2 linked regions of the Coturnix japonica genome follow. The protein of the gene in region 1 interacts with the protein of each later gene in a pairwise test. Links are inferred from orthologs where the notes say so. Each region holds a gene or a part of one and is shown on either strand. Other genes may lie near its edges.

Region 1 (7,610 bases):
TCTTTGATATTCTTTAAAAACAAATATAAACAGAAAAAAAATGGAAGGGATGTGGTAGTTGATAGGTACTGACAGGCAGTTAATAGGCTACAACACAAAACGGCAAGAAGTGATGCCAAATTAGCATACAATAAAAGGGAGTAAAAATAAGCAACCTGGAGAGCGCTTGACTAAATGATGCCCTTTATTCTAATGTTATTTTAATAAACAAAGCCTCTTTGCTTTTTTTTTTTTTAAATTTCCAATCTCCTCCCCTCACTGTACCCCCTTCTCTTTCTCGTAATCACTATTTTTATTAAAAAAAAAAAAAAAAAAGCAACCTAAGTCATAACTGACAGAAGCTGTACTTGTTACCAAAAGCAAGCAATTGAGAACTTGTAGTGGTTTGACTGTGTCACCTAAATCTCTTGCAATTCTTATAGGGAAACAAAGTACTGTTATCAGTATTTTCCTCAGCCTCCAGTTCCGGACAACTTCTCACAGAAATTTACTTTTCCTTTGCACATCAGCTGAAGTGGCATCTTGTCAAGTGACATTCCAATGAAGACTGAACACTGATTTCTAGATTTTATCAACAGTTTGTCTACTTAATGAAAACAGGCCCGCCCTTATTTCCTTGTTTGTTTGCTTTGTTATAAACACCTCATTCCTTTTGGCTCTAGATCTTATAGCTGCTGCAAGGTAGTTAGGTAGCCACTAATACACAGCCTTAAGTGAATAAAAAAGAAATCATACAAATTTGAGCAAGAATTTCTCCATCCTTTCACCAGTCTGGTACAGGCCTATCAGTGTTCTACTACAACACAGATTTTAAACATACCCTAAGTTTTATCAATAAAACACCATTCAGTTACTTTGTTGAGGAAAGTGCATTAGAGTTCCTGTTTCTCTCCACTAACTGCAGTGGAATCGGATGCAACAGGAACTTTATTACTTCCTACAAAAACAGAATCAAAAGCAGCTTCCTGTTCCTCTAAAGTCACAGCAGCAGTGGACCCTCTAGCAGACATCCCAGTGAGGGACGGACGTTGCTCTGTAATCCTTTCCAGGTCCGCTGCTTTCCTGCCTCTTCTTTTGCCCAGTATTCTGATATAATTAGCTGGTACAAGTCCTGTTGTTTGACCATCATAACTAGCCAAAAGCCAGCCACGGATTTTGGGTTGTTGGTCTAAAAAAAGAAAATGCAAAAGCATTAAGTTACCAAGCAATTCAAAATATACTGCAGTTGAGGCACAAATACATGAGGAGGCTGAGCACAGCTAATCACACAGAGAAAATAACTCTGTGATAAAAGGGAAACACGAATTATTACACAAGAGAAATGATGAGGATCTGCATTGATGTGATGTTCTGAAGTGTGCTGTGAAGCTGAAAGTGTTGACACCACCATACTGCCATTTCCATAAGGATTTTCACAGTTATATAGCAAATATGAAAAAAGGATAGCCACAAAGGGAACTACAAAGTACTTCCAGAGTAACTTTAGGCTGTGTCATACTTTAGGGAAATTGAACAAAACTATTTAATAAGTTTTATTACAGTGCACGTAATAACAAGTGAAAAAAATATAAATCAGTAGGTATGAAAACTTGGGTCAAAATGTGTTTTGTTTTTGCATTCTTACTTTTTCCCCCTGCTCCTTTTCCCCCTTCCCCCCCCCCGAAAAACACACAATTTCAGAATCAAACTACACAACTTATTTCACATATGATTAGAAAACAAACTGAAAATTGAAAGCTTACCTTTGGGTGCTAATCTTAGAATGTCACCAGCACGGAAGGAAATTTCCTCTTCTGAGAGCGCACTGAAGTCATATTCTGCTCTTCCAACTACATGATCATCTTCTCCACTTGCCCAGTTACTAGAAACTGTTTCCGAAAAGAAATTAAGAATTTACTTGCTTTGAATTTAATAGATGAGATTTTTGGTTTGTCTGTTTTTGGTTTTTAAACCAAAGAGAAGACACCTTAATTTCTTTGCTTCTCTAACAGAGAACTGATGGGACTAACAAAGACAACATTTGGTGAGTCAACCAATAGCTTTTCCTTCTTCTCCACCTGCCACATTTAATAGAAAGGAATCACAAATTTGGAGTCATATAAAGTGTACCATGAAACTGAATCTCAGATCAACACTAAGCTATTTATACTTGTACCACATGCTTAAAATTCAGTGTTGTACCCCAGAATCTACACACTTCCATTACCCAAGTCTAGGTTTAATCTCTATACACGTGATAACTAAATGAACAATATACTCTATACTTTTCATGATTCTCTCATGCTGCAGATCATCTTTACCTGATTCTTCATCACTGTATGTAGAAAGGAGTTTCCAAATCAGATAGGGACCTCCCATAATAACAGCAAAGAACAAAAAAATAGGCCAGGATTTTGCCGAGTTAGCTGCCTTGTCTTCAAGACCAACACGAGCTACTGTCCCCTGACTTTCAGCCCACAGATCCTCATTCTCAGAGCTCTTCCGCAGACCCAGTAATCGTTGTAGACGCTGGTAGAGATATCTTATAGTTCTCACTAAAGCAAATGCTGAAAACACCTTTGTGAAGTGTACTTTGAGGCGGGAGAAGTGATTGGCTACATCCAACACAGCTCTGAAACTGTTGTACACAGCTGAAAAGGTAGCATCCATCATCATGCTGACTGAGGCAAACGCATGCACAATACTTTCAATGGACTGAAATGCACCTCTGCTGCTCTCTTCAGCCTGTTGAACAAACCTGCTGGGAGGAATATCATCTGTACGAAAGCGGTTATAGCCCAAGCCACCATATCCATAACTGTAAGGGCTGTAGCTTCCATAAAAAGAAGTTCCATATGAACCATAGCCTGTAGTAAAAGAACTGCTATATGCTGGCCTTAAAGTACTGAGACTACTGCTTCCTGTTTGCTGTGATGGTCTCGGCAAAATAGGTGGAGGTATTCGTGCAACTGTGGGTTGTCCAGGTCTGGTCAGCAAGTTGTCACCCAAGTCAGGAGACCTAAACAGATTCAGACAACCAAGATCAGTACTCAAAATGTGGTTATGTTTTCATTTTCTCCAGCATTATTCAATAGCTATCAATATGACCCTGCGCTTTGCTAGTGCCAGGTTGTGGAATCTGGTTACCAAACATTCATACTGTCGCACAGTGTTAGTGAGAATTAAAAATTTCTGTCAAGAAATACAAATCTTTCATTAAAAAAAAAAAGAAATGTTCAATGCAAATGTAGAATTGCAGCATATCTGAAACATATAAGAGCTGTTTTTCTTGTACAGACCAAAAGCACAAAATGCTAAGGCTAGACCCATCCAATCTGATGCTGATTCAACTCCTAAGTCATTCGCCTGTGCAAAAGGGCATCTCATACACACTACCAAGAATATTTTGCAATTTGAAAGCTTTAATTCCAACATTTGTTCTTGTTTCTTCTAGATAATGAGCCAATGGTACAGCAAGAAGGAAGCTAGACAGCTCCTCTGAAGTCACCCTTGGAGAACCGACTGGTGGGACCTAACAAAATTCAAATGATAACAGCACACACAACAGCCTAGGGCTCCCTGCTTCCCCCTACTGAACTGGGACTGAATCTAAGACTGTTAACAGCTGGCAGAAAGAGCTACTATGAGCTCATTTACTTTTTTAAAAAAAATAATAATAAATTTCTAGCTCTTGGCATGCCTGTAAGTTTCAGCCGGTTTACCTACATCCTTTGTAATAGGTCTGTGCAAGTACTTGGCATCTGAATTCTATCAAGTAGCTGTCCATCTTCTGCTGTTTTCCATACTGAAGCAATCTGCTGTACCACTTACACATGCGATAGGGAACAACTTTCCCCACAGCAAAACTTACAGGTTTACCTAAAGCGAAGTATAATATTTACATCTTTACACTGTTTGTTTCTTCCAGCCTAGACTGTCACAGTTAAAAGCAGAAGTAAAAATAAGGTACTACCACAGAAGTTGGGGGCACCCTCCCACAAACCAGATTAGGACAACTCAATTTTTAGATACCTGGAGTAAATTAAAATGAACTAGATAACCTCACCAAGAAAACTTAACATCAAACCTCCTGCTCAGCAAGCTTCAGCCTGCAGTGAAAGCATAGTTCTTCCTGAAAGTTCAGTTTGGAGGTAACCTTTTGCCCAGTTTCAGCTCACCCTAATTGCAATCAACAGCACCAAGTGGAAAACAAGACTCATCTTCAGCCATCATCTTTCCTTGGCTTCTGATTAAAATTCATTTGACAACTCTTTCTGCACAGCATCCTTCCCAGTGAAGTACACTCTGTCTTCTGCAGGAGCAGAGCCTCAGGTCAACAAATACACATTCATCTTTTCCACTGCCAGGATCAACCACACACAGCCCCACTCCCACGGGGAGCACATACTCCGTGGCTCTGCAACCCTCACGTACGAACGACAGCGTTTTTTCCACTTGTGGCAACACACCCAGCCCTGCTAACACGTCAACCTCCACCTCGTTAAACCCTCGACTTTCCGTAGACTGGCTCTGAGCCCACAGAACCCGCTGACGAAGATCCACAGGAGGTTCCCCCCACTCTTCTATACACCTCCCCAAGAAGCGGAGTGAACCCGCGCACAACCCGCCCCTCAGCTCCCAGGCCCGGCCAAGGCGCCGCGCCGACGGGCTAGGCCCGACCTTTGAGCCCGGCCGCCCGCAGGGCCGACCCCGCGGTGCGCGGAGAGGCCCGTGCGAGGGGCACACACTCACTGGAAGGCGGGCGCCACGCTGCCCACTAACCGCCGGTTCTCCCAGGGCTTGGGAGGCGGCGGCTGCGAAGCCATCCCCGCCTCGCTGCAGCCCCGTTCGAGCCCCGGCCCGCTCCGGCCCGCCGCGCTCCTCCGCCCGCCCCCGGCAGGCGGGACGCCGCAGCGCCGAGCGATCGAGCCGGCGGCCTTCCGGGCACCGCGCTACGTGCTCCGCCCTGCGCTCTATCGACGCGCTCCGCCCCGCGCCGCGCTGGGTTTGATGCTCCTGTGCTCAGTGCGGCCTATATTTAGTACTGTGATTATTAGTGTTGTCCAGCATGTCTTCTCTAACAGAAAAGGACAGGCCGATTGTTCAGCTGTTACTGGGTGCTGGCACATGCCCACGATGTATTTTCAGGTTCTGCCGTGTGGGATCACAGACGCTTTATAGGCATCCATACAAGGTTTGTTCTTTGTATTTCTGATTAGAACATGTGGCCGTATGAATGCAGTATCGTGCTGTACACTACTTGGAGGAGAAGGATGTTGTTTGTATTCTTGGACATTGCCTGTTGGGAAAGCTCTGTGCAAGTGTGAGAAATTACAGTAGTGCTGTGGTATAAGAATTCCCGTCAGTTTGGTGTTAGGTTCGTTAAGTTGCTGTGTATTCCCAGGAAAACTCTGTAAACAGGACAGAGCAACTTCTGCACAGCTCTATCACTCAAGCAGTGTATCCCCGACAGTTCCCTCCTTCGTTTTTCCTTTAACACAGTAAGTCACAAAGGGGCTGTGGGTCACGGCAGCTGATTGGGGGCTTTCTCTTCTTGCCTCAAATTCCTTCCGTCTTCCAGCAGCATTGGCTGAGGGATGTAGCTGAAGAATGGCGCAGTTGATGCTCCGCTGTCATTCCAGCAGTGTTATTAGGCACCCTATTTAGCTGACCTTCCCGCTGAAATTCAGCATTCTGAATTGTTTTCCCAGTTGTGCACCGTCAGCCTTCCTGTGTCTTTGTATTATGTGCTTCTCAAATTGTTTTTGGCTACTTGCTCCTTCACCACGTTGATTCATAGAGTTCTCATTATGTAGGCCTATTATTTCCGTGTATCTGCCCTAATGATGTCTTTATGCTTGTGTGTTACGGTGTTTGCCTTGATTATTTCACTTTCACTCAAGTTTAGACTCTCCAGAATTCTTCTTTCACGTCTTTCTTCCTAATCCTGTTTCATTTTTAATCAATCTGTTGAGAAGTGTTTGTTCTGTGTGCCATTTATCATGCTTTTGCAGCTCTATCCAATTTTCATCTGAGTTGCGACAGTAAATGCTGTTATTGAAGATGTCTTAATAAATCCTTATTTTTTTTTCTGACCCAAGTGTTACCTCTACCTTTCATCCTTCCTAAATTTCAGATATATGGTTAATTCTCTCTCCTCACCAGCACATTCATTAATATTCATAAGCTTCTCATTACATGAATGAATGAGACGTACTTTGTCGTGTGTTTAATTTCACTATTGCATTTATCTGCTCTAATTTTCTTCTCATACTGTGGTAGCCAGCTGTCTTCGTTGTGTGGGCTGTCAGTGTTGGAGGATTAAATTCTTAGGTAAGAAATGGCAAAAAGGCAGTAGACACATATTTTCCTTGAACAGTGACAAGGCTGAAGATAAATGCATTTCTGCAAGTTGGTCTTTAAAATGTTTCCAGTGTTCTTGGAAAGTAAAGAAGTCTGTTAAGCAAAAAAAGTTTTGTTGGGGTGGTAACGTTTTGACAGAAGTACAGATTGGAGCTTTTGTTTTTTATTGTGCGAGTGTCTTTTTGGTATCTTTACAAGTTGCTAATTACATACACAAAGACTAAAGCTACAGGTGGTTTCTTCTGCTTTTTAAACCTGTGTTTGTAAGTGCTTTTTACAGCACTGAATTCGAGAGGAAAAGTCAACAAAGTAAAATCCCACTGTTTGTGTTAGGATTTGATGAAGGATTTGAAACAATTCCTGAACGGTAATCAAGAAAAAGAAGATACAACTTGCTTTGATGTAGCTGATCCACCTTGTAAGCGATTCAGACTTGGACATGCAGAAGGAGGGCCTGAAGATCTGAACCAGAATGGAGCGCTCAGTCAGATTTCTTTGGTTAATGATGATAATGCTGCTGTGCAGAACTCAGCTGCGGAGAACTCAGCTGCAGAAGTTTGCAATGTCTGTTTGGGAATTCTTCAGGAGTTCTGCGAGGCTGACTTTGTTAAAAAGGTAAATAATCTTAATCTACAAGTATATTTTTTAGGAGCTTTTGTATGTTAGGGCCTGCAGTATAGATCTGGTGATTTAGAAACACTGTACAGTTAAACAATTGACAGAGAGAGCAAATCAAACCGAAACATTTTCTTGTGTTGAATATTTGAGTTGTAGATGGTGCCATTCAGCTACATACAGCTCACTGACACAGTATTTGCGTACCTGTTTTGCAGCTGGGAAATAAAATGCGTGACCATGTTTTGTCCAAGGTTTGTTATAATGTAACTTTGAAAGAAAGGTATAGGTGCAGTGGAATAACAGGAATGTATTTTTGTAATCAGGTTAATGAAACTTCACTATAAACCAATCTCTCTCCTCTTTTAGCTGTGTAAGGGCAATATGAGGAGTCATCAAATGCTGTGCTGTTTAGTTTAACTGTCTGTTTCTAACACAGGAGTGTTTCTTTACTATATAGCACTATTTAGAAACCCACAAAGGAAAAATGTATTTGGTGGTACAGCATTGCAGATAATGAAGAAAAAAGGAGTTAAGAGAGAGTATGAACATAATGCGTGTTGCAGATGTCATCTCTGAGCAATACAGTTGCTTATGTGACAAACCAAAATATTAGCTAAAAATTCCAATTGCATTTGAGATGTTTGACAGAG
Region 2 (7,778 bases), on another chromosome or scaffold:
TGCACTACACTGAAAGATGCAGGAGTTTTTTACATAAAAAAAAACCAAAACAACCAACCCATAACCACAACAAAAACACAGAAGAGGTTTTGATTTTACTTTAACTGGTAGGATTAGCATGAGAATTCCAAGTGCCTACATACCAGGCTGGAGATGAAAGGAAGCGGCTGAAAAAATGGCACAATGATAATATCACAATAAATCCCTCAACCCCCCCCTAAAAACTGTTCAGTGAGCAATGATCAAAATGCCTGATTCCTGTTCATTAACGATGTAGGTAATTTTCATCCTTTCTGCTGTAGATGGTGGGAAGGTGAACAAACTGTCCAAGGCTTCACAGCCAGATCAGCACCATCAGATGGAATTTTCTGGCTCCCAATGAGCTATTCAGAGCTGAACTCTTACACGCTGTGTTTAGCAATACCATTGTTCTAGTACTCTGCAAAAAGTCCACATCCCTTTGGTTACACATGATTTGAATCAGCACAAGTATTTATGCCTCAGGACAATGTCCAAATCTTAGTTTTCTGCAGCCAGACCACAGTATGACCAGCAAACTATGGCTCCCAGGACATACCTTATTTCTGTTGGTTCTAATTAAAAAAACAACCACAAAAAATGCAACCCACAACTACTTGCATTTCCCTGACACTTGAGGCAGAGCTATAGTCTTATTTCCTGCGTTTTGAACTGAGCCCATCTCCACAGGGCAGCGCTTTCTTGCCCCTCGATGTGCTCCTCAGGGAGTGCAAAGTCTGCACTTGCTGTAGACGCTTGGAGAGCTCCTGATCACAAGCTTGTTGTACAGCTTCGGCTTTCTGCTTGTCCCAGCTTAAAGCTGCAGCCAGGGCTTGAGTGTCTTCCTTCACCACCAGCTGTAAGAGAAAGATTTGTAGCAGTGCTGCCCACTGATGCTCTACCACCACAACCGCCTGCCCGCACGCACCAAGAACAGGAGTAATGAGACACCTCTTTAATGCTAATTTGGTGTTGAAGATGTTTCCAGCCTGCAGCTTGTATCTCCTAAGCGAATTTATTTTTCTTTATATCCTACCAGTACTTAGAGCTTGAAGCTCTACGTTCCAACTAACGGAAAACAGTTCCCTAGCTTCTGCAGCACAGAAAAGCGAGATTAATAATTTCATATCATCAGAACACTTTGTCATGGCTAGTTTACCCAGACTTTCCTTTTCATGCCACAGAAGCTTCAGCTCTCAACCCTTTATCCAGACAGGAGAGATGTGCCAGAACATGGTTGTATGATCCTCACCCACCTCTAGAGTCTGACTGTCTAAGCAGAGCTCTGGGGCAGGTTTCTCTTTCAGAACAGCACAGATCTGGACACTGAGGGCTGTTGTGGCTGAAGTCCCTGCACTGCTGGTACCTGTGTCGACCACATCCATCTCCTTTCTTGGTACGCTCTCAGACTCTGAAAAGCAGAAGAATCATTACAGCCACACACACAGGACGGGAAGCATAGCCCAGACTGCGCTGTTCTTTTTAAGATTAGATACTCAGTCTCTAACTTAGGAAACCCATAGTATTAAGGATGACTACACTACGTAAGCTTTGCCCCCATATTCTACTTTCAGGCACTGTAAGCAGTGAAAGGACTCCTCCCACTCAGGGTATTCTTCCACTACACCAGCTATTCAATCACCCATGTTAATAGCAAGTGACTCACTCCAATCCTTCCCCCACTTATCTGTCCCACTCAACTCTTTCAGGCTTCTCTGAGAAGCTCCTTCTTCAATATCCTCACGTTCCCTACCTGCTACTTTGCTTAAGACGCTGTCTTCATTTTTCAAGGCCTCTAAGTAGAGTTCCAGGAGCTGCTTTGACTGACGTTCCTCTTCTCGTCTGTCCAGCACCTGCTGCAGGGTGTCCTGCAGTACCTGGGTTTTGGTTTGACTTTGGGCAAGTTCCTCTGCCAGATCTGAACGTGGTATGTCAATCAGCACCTTCAAACGATAGGAGTGTTCCTGTTCTATGGACTGAGTGATGAGCAATTCCATCACACTGATTACAGCACAAACGACAAGCCTGAATGACGGAGCCTCAAGGCTGGCACTTGAGAATCTGCATGTTTCAGGAAGGCAAGAAGGGGCAGAGGCACAAAGACATGATGTGAGGGACAGTCAGTGGTTTAGAGCATCTTCCTCAGACGCTGGTGCTGTCAGTGGAACAAGGAATCCCCCTCAAGGAGAATTTTCACGTTAGCACCACAGCCAAAGAAACAAGAGCTGAATTAAGTGATCCAATTTATGCCATCCTTTGCAATGGATGGATGAGCCTGGTGTCCCCCACCCCCCGTACCTGCAGGTCTCCTTCAGACATCAGGATGATGTTGGACAGGTCTCCCTTCAGCTGCCGTGCCAGCTGCCTCCACCTCTCTGCCCCGCTGTCCACTTCATCCGCAGGCTGTGATAGCCAGCCCGATCTGCCGCCTGCCACATCACATCAGCAGCCAAAAGATGAAAACACAAAGCTATCGAGATCGGGACGACAGCCGTTACCCATTTAAAGCTATTTAACGCTGCTTTTCTATGCCCTTTGCCTCCTTTCCGAGGTCCCTAGCCCCGCTCGTACCTGCGCTCGTCCCGCACCACCTCTCTCCTTTGCCCAGCGCCACGAAGGCGGTGTTTGCGGGCAGGCACATGAAATAATCCTCGTCGTCCACGATGGTTCCATCCTCCGCCAGCACCAAGGTGACGGGCCGCCCGTCCTCGCCGATACCCAGAGCTCGTCCAGCTGCGCGCAGAGAAACGTTTAATGCCGTTCTGACCCCGTGCTGTATGAGCGGGCCGTGCCCGTGCAGCGCCGCTCACCCTTATCGCGCAGCTCCCGCAGGCAGGACGCTGCCAGCCCGTGCTGCTCGCTGCCGTCTCCCCGCCGCACCACGCACGGCTTCAGCCGCCCCGCCATGGCCGCGATGGGCCGCGTAGTTCCGCAGCCGCCTTAAAGGGACACGAGCTCCGTGCGGCAGAGCATCGCGTTGTGCTGTATCGGCGGTGCGGAGCTCGGCTCGTGCTGCCTGCGGCGCTACGGGCGGCGGGGCGGGCTGTGCCATCGCCTGGGCGGGCATGGATTAGCCGGGCCTGGGAAGATGGCGGCCTCGGAGCAAGCGGAGCAGCCCAGCCAGGTACGAGGGGCCGGAGCTGTGCGCTCTGCTCGGGCAGCGGGGCGGGCAGGGCCGGGCTGCCAACAGAGCCGCGGGGGAGAGGTCAGGGTGAAGGGAGGGCAGGGCTGCGAGCTGCGGGCCTCCATTCCCTGCCTTGATTCCCCTGCCGTCCCCGCCGCCTCCTCGTGATCTGGGTTTCGCTCCTGCCCCCCACGCGCGGCCTCAGCTCCGACCGCCGCCCGCCCCCCCCTCATAGCGGCCTCCAGGGGCAGAGGGGAGGAGGATCCCGCATGGAGCGGCTGCCCGGCCTCGGGGAGCTCTGTGTGTGTATGTGTGTGTGTGGAGTTAAGCACTTGGATGGGAGGATAAAAAAAGTGGGAACAAACCAACGCAGAGCCCGGGTACAGACAGGCACAGTGCCCGTCAGGTGGGTCTGCACGTCAGGTAGACCAAGTGATTCTGCCTCGCAACAAACAGGTTGGGAGATCCTTGAAGCAATGGCACCAAAGGGCACTGCAATGACAGGCGCGATGCAAACGCTGCCCACGAGTGAGTGTGGGGCGTGGGGAGAGGCACGGGTGTGATGGAGTGACTGTCTGCTCTGGGCAGGTGCTGGGATCGCTGGGGTTTCATAAACTGGGCCCTGAAGCAAACGGGGAAGGCAGAAGGGAAGATGGCAGCATGGTGGAGCTGCACTCATTGTGGGTTTCCAGCCAGCTGTGAGGGAAACCCCAAAGGCGGTGCCATAGGACAGAGTGCAGCATAACCCCAGTGTCACACACTGCCAACCGAGCCCAGGAGCAGGGACCTGGCACTCCTCATCTCACCTCTGCCTCTGATGCAGTGCTATGCTGGACCATATGAAGGCTGTAAAACCATCCTTGAAGCGGTTGCAGAAAGGCCTTTCCTTGCAGGTGAAGGAGAGAGGAGCAGGGAGGGAAACAGCAAAGTCTGCTTCGCTTTTCTGTGCAGTCATTCACGTCTGTTCTCATTTGACTGAATCACCACACACGTTTCCATTGGTACTTTTATTTTGGACTGAAAAAGCTAAGTTTGTAGTGAGCATTGCTGAACTAAACAGAGATGAGATACGTTCCATAAAGGCTGTGCTCTGACACTGTGAGCTCCCAGGCTGTATAGGCCCCATTATCAGGCTGCTGGTTGGCTTGCTGGGCAGTTCTGTGCTGGTTGTGTGCTTTCATCAGTAGCACCTTGAGGTGCAGGCACATCAATCTGTTCCTCATGATGTGGGTTGAGCTCTGTCAACAGGAGGAAGCCTGAAACAGCCTCAGACTGATCTGTGAGCCACCTGGGGCAGTCCATGAGGCAGCTGCCTGCAGGTTTCCAATGAAGAAGTCTGCTTAATTGGTAAATGCGATTGCCTGAGAAACATTTGGGTTCCTATGATATCGTGTACACTCAATGCACCCTTTAAGTCTCTGTTTTATACTTCTTTAGTATTGCTTTGCCTTGAAAGAAGGCTTGATGTTTGCATTTTGGATGCAGGCTGTTGGAAAGTAACTTTTTGCCACAGAGAAACCACTGTGTCTGGCTCCTCATAGCAGATCCAGTTTGTAGGGCTGCTTTGGTGTTGGGTACAGGAGGTAACAGTGAGTTCAGCTGCTGGATAGCCATGATCTGTGCACCAGGAGCAGCCCTGTTTGTGTATTGAAGTTCCTCCTTCCCCATGTTGTGTGTTAGCATGGGACAGAAGGGTTGTTCTGTCTAAGGCTGTCATGTCCTGCTCTCCTCCCCCATCACTCTGACATTGGTTGCATGTCTTCATCCAGAACTGCAGCTGGGGAGTGTTCGGTGCCCTCAAATCTGGTTAGCTCGGGTGGGATTGGAGAGAAACCAGCAGGTTTGGCCAGAAACAAGGGCTGTAATCTGCAATTAAAGGATATGAAGCACAGTAGATGATTTCTTAAGGGGACAGTTTTGCAATAAAGCTTTTTATCAGCATATGATAATCAGCATATGAATACCACTCATGATATGCAGCCACTGCAGTTTTGACACTGGTACCAAGGCATGTAAGAGGTTGTCTTTGTAACACACTAAACATGTAAAGGACTTAAAAAATGTGTTTATTTTCTACCCTTAGTTATCTTTACCAACATGAACCTGTGAGTGGTAGGACTGTCTTGCTTAACATGTTTATGTTTGGATCCTATCATCTGCTATTACAAATCTAGTTAGTTCAGATGCTGCAGAGGGAGCGTCAGATATCTTTTGCCTTACTGTCTGTTTTGTCTACTTTGTCTCATTCTCATGAATTAATGTATTGCCTCAAGCATTGCAGAGAGTGGTGTTGCAGCTCAGATGAAATCATTGACATAGATAGGATTATGTTCTGAAGGCAATAAATGTTTCTGCTACAGATTTCTAAATAATTTATTTTGTTTAGAAATCATATTCTTTGGGCTTTTTAGTCATGTATTTGCTTAATAAAACAACAAAACAAAGGAAAAACGCAGAAGAACCCCCTAAAAGTGGGGGGTGATCAGATGGTGTAGGCTGTGAACAGAGTAACCCATTTCAGACCTCTCAGGGCTATCAGGGTTTCTTTGCTGCTGAGTACTTGGACTGTATATTGGAGAGCATCACTGGCTCAGCCAGCAGCAGCACAGGCCCAGACCTTGTTTTCTTTCTAAAGCTTCGCTGTATCCACTCTGGGCCCAGTCTGCCATCTAGCTGTGTTTTACCTTCATGTAGGGAAATAATTAAATTGCAAAGATGTTGAAAGATACCTGATTTCTTGCTCCATAGACACACTTCTCTAGTTGCATCACTAGCCAACGTGTAGGTGAATTTTCCTCCCTTCTTGCCTCCAGCTCTGCAGTGCTCAGCCTTGGAGTTTTCTGCTGTGTGCATCTTAAAGGATGGTTTATGGTATGGGATATTTGGTCTCTGGACTGTGATGGCCATTGCTTTGTTAAACACAGGCTACTGAACAGCCACTACATAGAAAGGATGGATTCTTCCCTGACTTATCTCAGAGCTCCCATGTACCAGAGGGTTGTTGTGCTCTGCCTTAGGACACTAGTTCTTTCACTGTCACCATGCCTTGTGTGCAGTGATATTGCTGGAAGGAAATGCAGATCTCATTTAAACTGTTGGTAGCCTTATACAATACAATCAAAATACTATGAATTATCCAGCTCATCAAATGTGTCATCAGGCTGTTTACAAGCACATCAGAATTTTTGAGTATGTGCTTTCAAAACTCTGACCTACCCACATCATACATATTTTCCCACATTAACCTGGGCTTCATTCCAGATGCTCTTTGGGCAGCTTCCCAGGCCAGCTAAATGTTGCACGTGCCACTCTAAGTGCTGGTGCAGCTCCTGAAGGCAGAATAGATGTGCTCCTGTGCATGGGAGGCTCTGGGACTTTATAGGGGCTGTGAAACCCATGGAGGTCAGTTCTGAGCCTGACAGTAAATAACACTGTGTATGGAGACAGGAGCTCAGCCATAAACTTGGAGAAGTGCCCTTTTCTTACAGTCGCATGGCATTGCCTCCACCACACCAGTCCGCGTGATTCGGGTATGGTGTGGAAACTGGTATTTGCAGTCATTGAGATGAACTGATAGTGCATGAAATTTTAGCAGAGAAACAGTGGGTAAAACAGAAGTGGAGGTGGCTGCATGGGGAAACACCAAGAGCCTCCACACATCACTGCCTTGCTGTGAGAGCTGGTTGGGCCTGAGGATGCACATGGGTCTGGAAGCAGCAGTTGGATGTATTTGTGTTACTGGCACCCTCTTGTGGCAAATACTTATTTCTGTATATTTTGGGGTGTTTAGATGGGGAAAAAAGAGACTTGAGCTGCTTTGAAGGTGTGATGTATTGCATAGAACTGCAAGTAGTTGGAGGTCAAGAGATCACTTAAGGACTTAGTGGTATCACTAGATAGTTTTAGCTTTCACTGTATTCTCTCAATAGAATCATGCAGAAAACAAAGGGTGTGTTACTGGCGGTGGAAATGGGAGATGCTCAGTGTCATATGGAGGTCTACAGAGGAGGAAAAAGAAGCATAAAATTAGAGCAAAGTTCCTTTGCATCCACTTTTGTAGCAATACTTTGGGCTGCTTCTGACCACTGTCTTTCTTTATCATCTCAAAAACCTTTACAGATGTTAAGGACTCGCTGGGTCCCTTGGAAACCAGTCTCAGTGCTCTCTGGCTCCCTACAGCAGCTCTGCCCATTGACAGGGTTCTGTTTAAGTGACGACTGATGGATCTAATTTTCTGTGTGACCTTTTGGTCTTCGGTTCATCACTGAACTATTGCTAATAACAGAAACGTGTGTCTGCCCAAATCCTGCTCGCCTGTCCGGATGGCCCTTTATGAGCATTTCTAATTGTGTCCATGGGGTGGCGATGTAACCTCACTTTTCTTTTTACTTTTCAGGCCGGCTCCAGCCCTGCTACTGAAAATGCAGCATCTCGGGAGCCTCTGGTAAGTTCTAACAGCAGCACGCAATTTCTTGCTAATAATGTAATATATGAGATGTTGTCTTTGCTCGTTTTGAATGAAAGGAGCTGGCTCTTTGTGAAAAAGGTCTGAACTGCCCAATGTTGTTGTGCTGTTGACCTGTGGCCATGACCATGAAGCGAGACATCAGCCTCCTGAGCTTCAGCCATTCCTTTC

Evidence for each region.
Region 2: the proteins of PEX13 (region 1) and PEX14 interact in a two-hybrid assay, tested with the Homo sapiens proteins (2 studies listed by BioGRID and IntAct, with this or other methods). The link is inferred for Coturnix japonica from reciprocal best matches to the Homo sapiens genes PEX13 and PEX14.

Annotation. Positions count from the first base shown.
Region 1 is NC_029518.1:5,441,075-5,448,684, forward strand, and holds the start of PEX13 (peroxisome biogenesis factor 13), read right to left. Parts: upstream 4,887-7,610; 5' UTR 4,806-4,886; coding exon 4,732-4,805; intron 2,999-4,731; coding exon 2,301-2,998; intron 1,869-2,300; coding exon 1,743-1,868; intron 1,169-1,742; coding exon 873-1,168; 3' UTR 1-872. Other genes in the region: putative tRNA pseudouridine synthase Pus10, read left to right, coding at 5,048-5,173, 6,676-6,957. UniProt on the Homo sapiens protein: Component of the PEX13-PEX14 docking complex, a translocon channel that specifically mediates the import of peroxisomal cargo proteins bound to PEX5 receptor.
Region 2 is NC_029536.1:3,186,179-3,193,956, forward strand, and holds the start of PEX14 (peroxisomal membrane protein PEX14), read left to right. Parts: upstream 1-3,028; 5' UTR 3,029-3,106; coding exon 3,107-3,142; intron 3,143-7,538; coding exon 7,539-7,586; intron 7,587-7,778. Other genes in the region: DFFA (DNA fragmentation factor subunit alpha), read right to left, coding at 672-875, 1,275-1,429, 1,772-1,961, 2,317-2,447, 2,590-2,751, 2,829-2,925. UniProt on the Homo sapiens protein: Component of the PEX13-PEX14 docking complex, a translocon channel that specifically mediates the import of peroxisomal cargo proteins bound to PEX5 receptor.